Mus musculus: one gene and its partner. The protein of the gene in region 1 binds, or shares a complex with, the protein of each later gene. Links are inferred from orthologs where the notes say so. Each region holds a gene or a part of one and is shown on either strand. Other genes may lie near its edges. The genes, in order: Sympk and Ssu72.

Evidence for each region.
Region 2: the proteins of Sympk (region 1) and Ssu72 are in contact, whole or in part, in a crystal structure (PDB 4H3K), measured with the Homo sapiens proteins. The link is inferred for Mus musculus from reciprocal best matches to the Homo sapiens genes SYMPK and SSU72. Residues at the interface, in NP_004810.2 of Homo sapiens: Val123, Lys127, Leu131, Gln135, Asp175, Asn176, Asp177, Gly178, Thr181, His182, Lys185, Glu188, Pro204, Arg205, Arg206, Gln207, Ser250, Ile251, Thr254, Thr255, Asn262, Ala290, Ser292, Gln293, Ser295, Ser296, Lys299, Asn300, Leu303, His304; in NP_054907.1 of Homo sapiens: Glu113, Tyr116, Asp117, Val120, Asn124, Glu127, Gln128, Glu129, Thr130, Cys131, Gln132, Pro133, His135, Asp167, Glu169, Asn170, Asp173, Gln177, Glu180, Thr186, Phe187, Leu188, His189, Thr190, Val191, Phe193.

What each region holds. Positions count from the first base shown.
Region 1 is NC_000073.6:19,027,271-19,031,079, forward strand, and holds part of Sympk (symplekin), read left to right. Parts: intron 1-626; exon of another isoform or gene 627-752; intron 753-1,593; 5' UTR 1,594-1,612; coding exon 1,613-1,717; intron 1,718-1,844; coding exon 1,845-1,910; intron 1,911-3,272; coding exon 3,273-3,326; intron 3,327-3,408; coding exon 3,409-3,482; intron 3,483-3,809. UniProt on the Homo sapiens protein: Scaffold protein that functions as a component of a multimolecular complex involved in histone mRNA 3'-end processing. Specific component of the tight junction (TJ) plaque, but might not be an exclusively junctional component. May have a house-keeping rule.
Region 2 is NC_000070.6:155,703,338-155,707,756, reverse strand, and holds the start of Ssu72 (RNA polymerase II subunit A C-terminal domain phosphatase SSU72), read right to left. Parts: upstream 2,943-4,419; 5' UTR 2,376-2,942; coding exon 2,296-2,375; intron 1-2,295. UniProt on the Homo sapiens protein: Protein phosphatase that catalyzes the dephosphorylation of the C-terminal domain of RNA polymerase II. Plays a role in RNA processing and termination. Plays a role in pre-mRNA polyadenylation via its interaction with SYMPK.

The DNA of each region.
Region 1 (3,809 bases):
GGCAGCACATGCCTTTATTCCAAGCACTCGGCAGATGAATCTCTGTTCAAGGCTAGCCTTGTCTACAGAACAAATTCTAGAACAGGGTTACACAAAGAAGCCTTGTCTCGAAAAAACAAAAGAGCAAAAACAAAACAAAAAAGATAACAAAACCTTAGTTACCAGCAATATTGTCTTCTAGATTTTCAGTTGCCCCATTTATATTTAGGAGTAATCTAAGCTGGCTTTTTAAATTTAAGTTTTATGTTTATTTTGCATATATGGACTATTGCTTCTATTTATGTCTCTGCACCAAGTGTATGTGGAGGCCAGGGTCTCACATCCCCTAGGACTAGAGTTAGAGTTTTGAGCTGTCCTGTGGGTGCTGGGGATCAACAAACTCAGGTTCTCTGGAGGAGCAGCCAGTGGCTTTCACCAGCTGAGCTGACTCTCCAGCCTCAGTTCTATCTTTTAAAACACCTAGTTTAGCCTTTTTCTCTTCTTCACACTGTATCCAGCTCAGTGTAATCCTCCTGCCTCAGCCTTTCTTCATATAATAGATTCATTCATTTTCTCTCTCTAACTCTCTCTCTCTCTCTCTCTCTCTCTCTCTCTCTCTCTCTCTCTCTCTCTCATGCTCCTCGCAGAACCCCTGCATTGTCACTATAGACGTTTTCCATGTTCCTTTCTCTCCTCTCTGGAAACAGGGTCTTAGCTGCCCAGCTGGCTTAGACCTCACAATCTCCTGCCTCCCAAGTATGTTAAGACTACAGGTATGTGCACCTGTCTGGGTCTCAATTCCGTCTTACAGCTGTGCCATCTGTAGGCTTGTTTGTTTATCCCAGTGTCAGGCCTGGGCCCCTCAGGGCCTTGCACATGCTGTACAAAGCTCACAAAGAGTCCTTTAGCATGTAGCATGTGAGAGTCTTTGTAGCCTGTCTCCCTATTTAAGAACACTTAGTTGGATTATGCTGCTTGCTGGTAAAAGTAATGCCAGATGTGGTGCCTTGTCTATGAGTCATTTCATGATTTTGTCAGAATGATTTTGTGATAATTGTGTAGTTCCTCTTTCTCCCTTTTCACAGAAGGAATAGCTTAAGGATGCTGTATTGTAATGAGTCTCTCCTTCCTTCCTTCCTTCCTTCCTTCCTTCCTTCCTTCCTTCCTTCCTTTTTGAGACAGTATTATGTAGCACTGTCTAGTTTTGAACTCACTGTATAACTGAGGCTGGCCTTGAACTCCTGATGTTTCTACCTACCTGCATCTTGAAAATGTTGAGATGAAAGACATGTAGCACCACACCTGGTTATAGAGGTGGCCTTTTTTTTTGAGATGGGGGGGGAGGGGGGAGTCTTGACTATGCAGCCCTAGCTGGCCTGCAACCATGTGTGGCTGTGCACACCTTTCATTCCAGCTCTTGGAAGGCACAGAAGGACTAGGAGTTAATGGCCACCTTTGGCTACCTAGTCAGAGACCAACCCAACCCTGAATTAAAGGAAAAAACCCCATAGTAGACATGAAGCACTGTATCTCCTGTACATGGACATAAACCCCATACCCACCCTAGAGGAGGGACGAGGGCTTTGCAGGGAAACTCACTAGCTTCTTTTCCAGGGAGAACCTGACAGCAGTCATGGCAAGCAGCAGCGGGGACAGTGTCACCCGCCGGAGTGTGGCATCACAGTTTTTCACACAAGAAGAAGGGCCAAGCATCGATGGCATGACCACTTCTGAGAGGGTGAGTGTAGCACAGGGCTGGGAGTGGGGAAGTGTGACTCCTGCCAGACAGCAGAGCACAGGAGGACTGCAGGGATTGACCTGGCCAGCAAGACCAGCCATGACACCTGGTTCTTCTGTCCTTCCAGGTGGTAGATCTTCTGAACCAGGCTGCATTGATCACCAATGACTCCAAGATCACAGTGCTCAAACAGGTGAGGTGGGGGTAAGGGACAGGGAGGGCAGGACAAAAGCCAGGGCAGAGCCACTGAGGGAGGACCGTTAGTCCCTGCACGTGTGACTCATACATGCCTGTACACATACACTTGCACACCTGTGCTGCATTCATACATGCCTGTGCTCACATACACCTGTGCCATACATCATGCCTTGCACATGCACACCTGTACACAACCTGTGCCCCAGAGTGCAGTGCAGTGCAGTGCTGTGCAGCCTGCTCCTTCAGTGTTTCTCAAGATCCAGGACTGGGTAGAGCGCGAAGGCGCCACCTGGAGTTTCTGCATGGCACAGCAGACCTCAGACCTGTAGACCACTCTGACCTCTGGCAGACCTGTGCCTGTCATTGTTTCCTTTCCTCTTTGCAATGAGCACAGTGTGCCTCCCCGTGGCTTGTGAGAGCCTTCATCTGTGAGGGTCTCAACAGTGTAGCTTTGAGATTCAGGGTCAGGAGGGTCAGAGCCGCCAGTGCTGACTGCTCCCCATTCCTGCCTGCATAGACTACATCTGGATTTATTTCTATTTGAGGTTTGTTGTTTATTCTCTCTTTTTTATGTTTTGCCTACATGTGTGTAAGTGCACCATGTGCATACAACCCTGACAAAGGCCAGACAAGGGCATTGGATTCCCCTGGAACTGGAGTTATAGATGGTTGTAGCTGGGTGCTGGGAACCAAATCTACTCCTCTGGAAGAGCATCCAGTCTCTTAACTGTTGAGCTGTCTCCCCACTCCTGCATTTAAATTAACCAATTATTTTCGCTGTCTGGTGTGTATTCTTGTTCACATGGTATAGGTGCTTGGTTGCTTGGTATGAGATGTTTATGCAGTCTTGTAGAGGCCCAAAGCTGATGTGTTTTTCCGTCACTCTCTGGTCTCTCAGTAGAATCCAGCGCTTGCTGATCCATTAGTCTAGCTAGCCGGGTTCCTGGGAGTCTGTCTTTGCCTCCAAAGAGCTGCGGCTGCGGTAGTGCTCTGAGAGCTGAGCTCTGTCCTCATGCATGTGGAGGTAGTGTTTTACCCCGAGCCAGCTGTGGGCCTTATTCTTGTTTTCACTATTTCCTGTATATCTGGACAGGCACATTGAGCTCAGAGGACAACTTTACACCAAGTGGCTCCCAGAGATGCTATTCAGTTCTTCAAGTGGGAGTGGCAAGTGTCTTTTACCCTCTGAGCCATCTTGCTAGCCCTTATTTTTAGTGTTTTAGATAAAGTCCATAGTCTAGACGGCCTTGAGAACATGACAGTCCTGCCTCAGCCTGCCTTGTACTGGAATTATGAGAACCACCACGCCTGCCTTTGGGGCCTGGGTTTATGTCTGCTCCTCCTTTCTTCAACTCAGGTCCAAGAGCTGATCATCAACAAGGACCCCACCCTGCTTGACAACTTCCTGGATGTGAGTGACCAGCCTGGGGATAAGGTGAAGGGAAGGTGGTACTCTCCCGTGTGCCCTGACCCATCTTCCTCTGACATTACAGGAGATCATCGCTTTCCAAGCAGACAAATCCATTGAAGTGCGCAAGTTTGTCATTGGCTTCATTGAGGAGGCATGGTATGGGGCATCATTAGGGGTGCCTAGTTGTCATGGCTTGTGTCCTCCAGATTTCCCCAGCATACACCCAATGGAATTGCAGCCCTGAATGCGCCTCAGCCAATACTTCATAGGTGATTTGTTTGTTAGAAGGGACCAGTCTTCCTTCAGAATACAGACAGCAGCTCACGTTTCTCAGCCGCTGACTCCAAGGCTTCTCTCCACCGGGCTGACATGACATGGGTACTGGGAATTGAACTCAGAGTGTCTTCCAGAGCAGTATGCATTTTTTTTTTAAAGATTTATTTATTTATTATATGTAAGTATACTGTAGCTGTCTTCAGACAC
Region 2 (4,419 bases), on another chromosome or scaffold:
GAAGATTCTAACTTAAGTGACAACTTCCTTGTGCTGTATAAAAGTCTTTGCACAGGTTCTGGTTACTATTTTAGCATAAATTCCTGGAAATGGCATCACTGAACAAATGGTAGGCATATTTCACATTCTTACAGTTTTTAAGGGTGTTTTCCAGAGTACTGCATATTTATACATTTCCCGTTGCCTCTCAGTCTCAAGAAAGAATCTTTCTTTTTTTTAAACCCCAAAACAGAAAAATAGTAAGTATACTTCAAGAAGGCAATAGGCAGTGGTGGAGCACACCTCTGATCCCAGCGCTTGGAGGCAGAGGCAGATGGATCTTTGAGTTTAAGGTCAGCCTGGACTACTCATTAACCTCACATTTGTTCATTAAACATGAATTAGTATATTTAAATTCAACATGTAAATATGAAAGAGGAAAAAAGAGCAGAGAACTGTGTATTACATTTACAACCCTACCATGGGAAGCTGAGGCAGTAAAGCCAAAACACAAGTTCAACGGGAGCCTGAGCTACAGTGTGAGATGAGCCCAAAAAGGGTGTGGGGTGGGGGAAGGATGCTGGAAGATGGGTCAGTATTGAGGCAGAGCTTGCCACAGGAACCTAAGTTTGAGTCCCAAGACTCAGGAGAGAACCTGTCTAAAAGTAGGTAGATTGAATTACTGAGGATAACACAAACCAAAGTTCTATCTCCAGGTACAAATGTAAAAATACCTAAAACTATTAAGTCCACAGTATCTCAACAAGAGCAGGGTATAGAGTGTTTTTTAGACCTGTAGGTGTATGTGTGTATTGATAACTCACAAAGGCAGGGCATGGCATCATATCCTAGTGATCCTCTCACTGAGGCAAGATGAATTTTAGTTCAAGGATACAATCTGAAGTAGGATATCGACCCCACTTTTTTTTTTTTTTGAGATGGTGTCTTACAGTCCAGGCTAGCTTTATACATTGTAGCGCCTACTGCTTAATTTCAAAGCACATCACCATCTATAAAACAAACAAAACTAAGTAAAGGCTATGCCCTATGTCAATAACCGCTTTAAGGCTCAAACCACCTTTTCACAGGGGTCACCTAAAACCATCAAAAAACATACTTATATTTACACTACAATTCATAAAAGCAGAACTGCATTATAAAGTAGCAACAAAAATAATTTTATTGTTGGGGGGGGTCACTGCAAAATGAGGACTATATTAAATGGTCGCAGCATTAGGAAGGTTGAGAACTACTGGTCTATGTACTAAGCATTACAAAGAATGAAACTTTAGAATTTGAGATAATAGGCAACTAACACTCTGGGTGACTAAGAAAACACAAGACAGTGCTTGGTATGGTGGCAAACTCCTATTAGTAATAACAACACAAGGGAGGCAGGTGAAAAGTGAGTTCAAAACCAGCAGCACACCTCTAATTGCAGTAGCTGCGAGACAGAGGCAGGCAATTCTCTGAGTCTGAGACCGACCAGGTATACAGAGTGAGTTCCAGGACAGCCAGAACTACACAGAGACCCTGTTTTGAGGGTTAAAAAAAAAACAAAAAAAACCCGAAATTGCCAAAAAATAATATTTAAAAAAGTTTTAAAAGTTCACAAACAGTTAACTCTGGGGGAAAAAAGACATTTCTACTGCACTAAGTTGAAATGTACAAACCCCCATTTTAACTGTAATACAATGCATCAGTTTCTCATTTTGTCAAGAGATTTTTTTTTTTAAGATAAAATACTATCAAAGATGAATGCCCTACTAGAAACTGGTGAATTCGTGAAGAAATATGAGGAGGTCCCACTGAACCAAATGAATTCGTGTGCTCCAGAAATTACTGACTAAAGTTATGGGGCTGAGAGGGGTGGTGGCTGGTGCATGAGACTTGCAAACGAAGACAGCAATAAACAGTCCCTGACGTTAACACCTCAGATCACTGTTGTTGCTTCCAGACTCGTTCCATCTTGATGTGACGTGTGGAGAGCTTTCCAAGGTGGCCGGACGACACATATACGGGAAAGATAAACACCAGGCACCCTTCGCAGCACGGAAAGACCTTGGCCTACCCCGTGATACTGCCCGGTCGTCCAGCACCCAGAGGGCCCCAGCTGTCGTGTGGCCACCTCTAGGGTTTACGGGGATGCCTACACTACCGAGGGTGTCGCGCGCACGGACCCCACTGAGGGCTCGCTGAGCGTGGAAGCCGGGCGTGGCCCGACCTCCGCGGCCCAGTCAGTACAGGGTCGGGGTCTGGACAAGAATCTGTGGGAAAGAGGAGGGAGGGGCGGAGGGCAGGTGGAGCTTGCACTACCTGAGGATGTTGTGTGCTTCCATGCTCCGATTCTGGTTACTCGAGCACACCACCGCCACCCGCAGCGGCGATGACGGCATGGCACCGACCGAACTACCCACTGCTCTCGCTACGGAGCTCCCACCTAGAAGCCGGCTTCCGCGCGAGGAAGATGGCGGTAACCGGAAATCTGCGACACGGAAGTGAACGCAACGCAACGCAACGCAACGCGTGGGGAGGCCGACGGTGCTCTCCTGGGCTCGTACTGCAGCCGGCGCGGGAGGGCGACCGGCCGACGCCGAATCAGCCTGAGAGCAGCCGAGGCCGGCGGTCGTGGACCACCTTCGCCGGCGCGTGACGTCACAGGACCTGCGCCGGCAACTGGAGCGGTGTGAGCCGCGCCTGCGTCCTAATGTACCGTCGCCTCGGATGACGCGCTAGGCGCGGCGCTTGCGCAATACTGAAAACTTCAGTGGGACGGGCGTTGGGGCGGGTCCGGGGAGTCTCAAGTCCTTTCCGCGGCTTCTCTTGGTGTGGTTGGGACGTTTTTCATTCCGGTTTCCTCCAGGTGGTCACTCTGCCAATTTCATAGATGCACTGGGCTCCAGCACTTGGTTTGTGCCCTATCTCTATCACGAGTACCTTCCTCAGAGTCACTGGACTTCTAGAAGCACGTCACTTCCTCTGTGAGCCCGTTGCAGCTTAACATGTAAACGATATGAAAAATATGGGTGAGGTAGCGGGCTCTTCAAGTTCGGCCAATCGGAAAACTGGCAGGAAAAATCGCTTCTCTGTTGGAAGCCAGTTTAGGTTGCCTATTGAGAGCTCGATCTCAAGTGAGAGGGGGAGAGAGAAATAGAGTTGCTGCTGGGCGTGGTGCCTCACACTTTTCTTTAATCCTAGAACTCGGTAATCAGGTCGACTTACAGCCGGCCTACCTGCCTGGTGACCTGTCCCCTCTAGCTCGAATGGAATGGTCAAGAAGTGAAGGGGATTAGATAAGTTGTTTGGAGATTCTGAGAACTCCTTTAAAGTTGGAGCAGTATGAGATTGTCAGGGACAAGAAGGTAGATAATGTGTAGTAAGTATAACAAAAGCTGTGTTTTGCCGGGCGGTGGTGGCGCACGCCTTTAATCCCAGCACTTGGGAGGCAGAGACAGGCAAATTTCTGAGTTCGAGGACAGCCTGGTCTACAGAGTGAGTTCCAGGACAGCCAGGGCTACACAGAGAAACCCTGTCTCAAAAAAAAAGCCGTAGATTCAGTAATCTACCCTTTATTCCTATTATTCCTGTATCTTCCTCTTTTCTTTTTCATCCCTTCTCCCTCCTTTATAAAAGTATATTTTATTCGCTTATAGTAATTGTCTCAAAGACTACCTCTACCTGTTTGCCTAGGCCTAGAATCTTCTAGCCTCCATGCAACCTTTTTTTCTTTTAAAGTTTATTTATATATATGAGTACACTATGGCTGTCTTCAGTCACACCAGAAGACGGCATGGGATTCCATTACAGATGATCGTGAGTCACCATTTGGTTGCTGGGAATTAAACTCAGGACCTTTGGGAAAGCAGTCCGTGCTCTTAACTACTGAGCCATCTCTCCAGTCCTATTTTGAAACTAAATTTCCCACTATGAACCTCCTCATTGCTATTGAAGTCTGCCATCATTGTTCCTTGTGTTAATGAGGAGGAGAGTATTGAGAACCTGTTGCGAGTAAGCCCACAGAGACCATCACGTGGACACTCTGAAAGCCAAAAGGAAAGTCTTTATTTTTGCCTGCTAGCTGCACAGAGAACTTGCCCAAATCATGTAACCTTGAGCCTTGCAGCTCTTTGACTTTATGTACAAAGACCATCTTGATTGGCATGCTTCAGTTAGCGAGAAGCAGAACTGTGGAAGTCAAAAAGCAAGATTAGAACATTGAGGAAGTTTTTACTTGGGGACTTATGGACTATGTTTCTATTTAGTCAGGTGTTGAGGCCTATGTGCTGGGCTTTTTCTTTGTTTGGTTTGTTTTGAAGATTTATTTTGTGTGAGAACACTAGCTGTTGAGGCCTATGTGCTGGGTGGTTTTGTTTCTTTAAAGATTTATTTATTTTATGTGAGTACACTGTTGCTCTCTTCACACACACCAGAAGAGGGCAT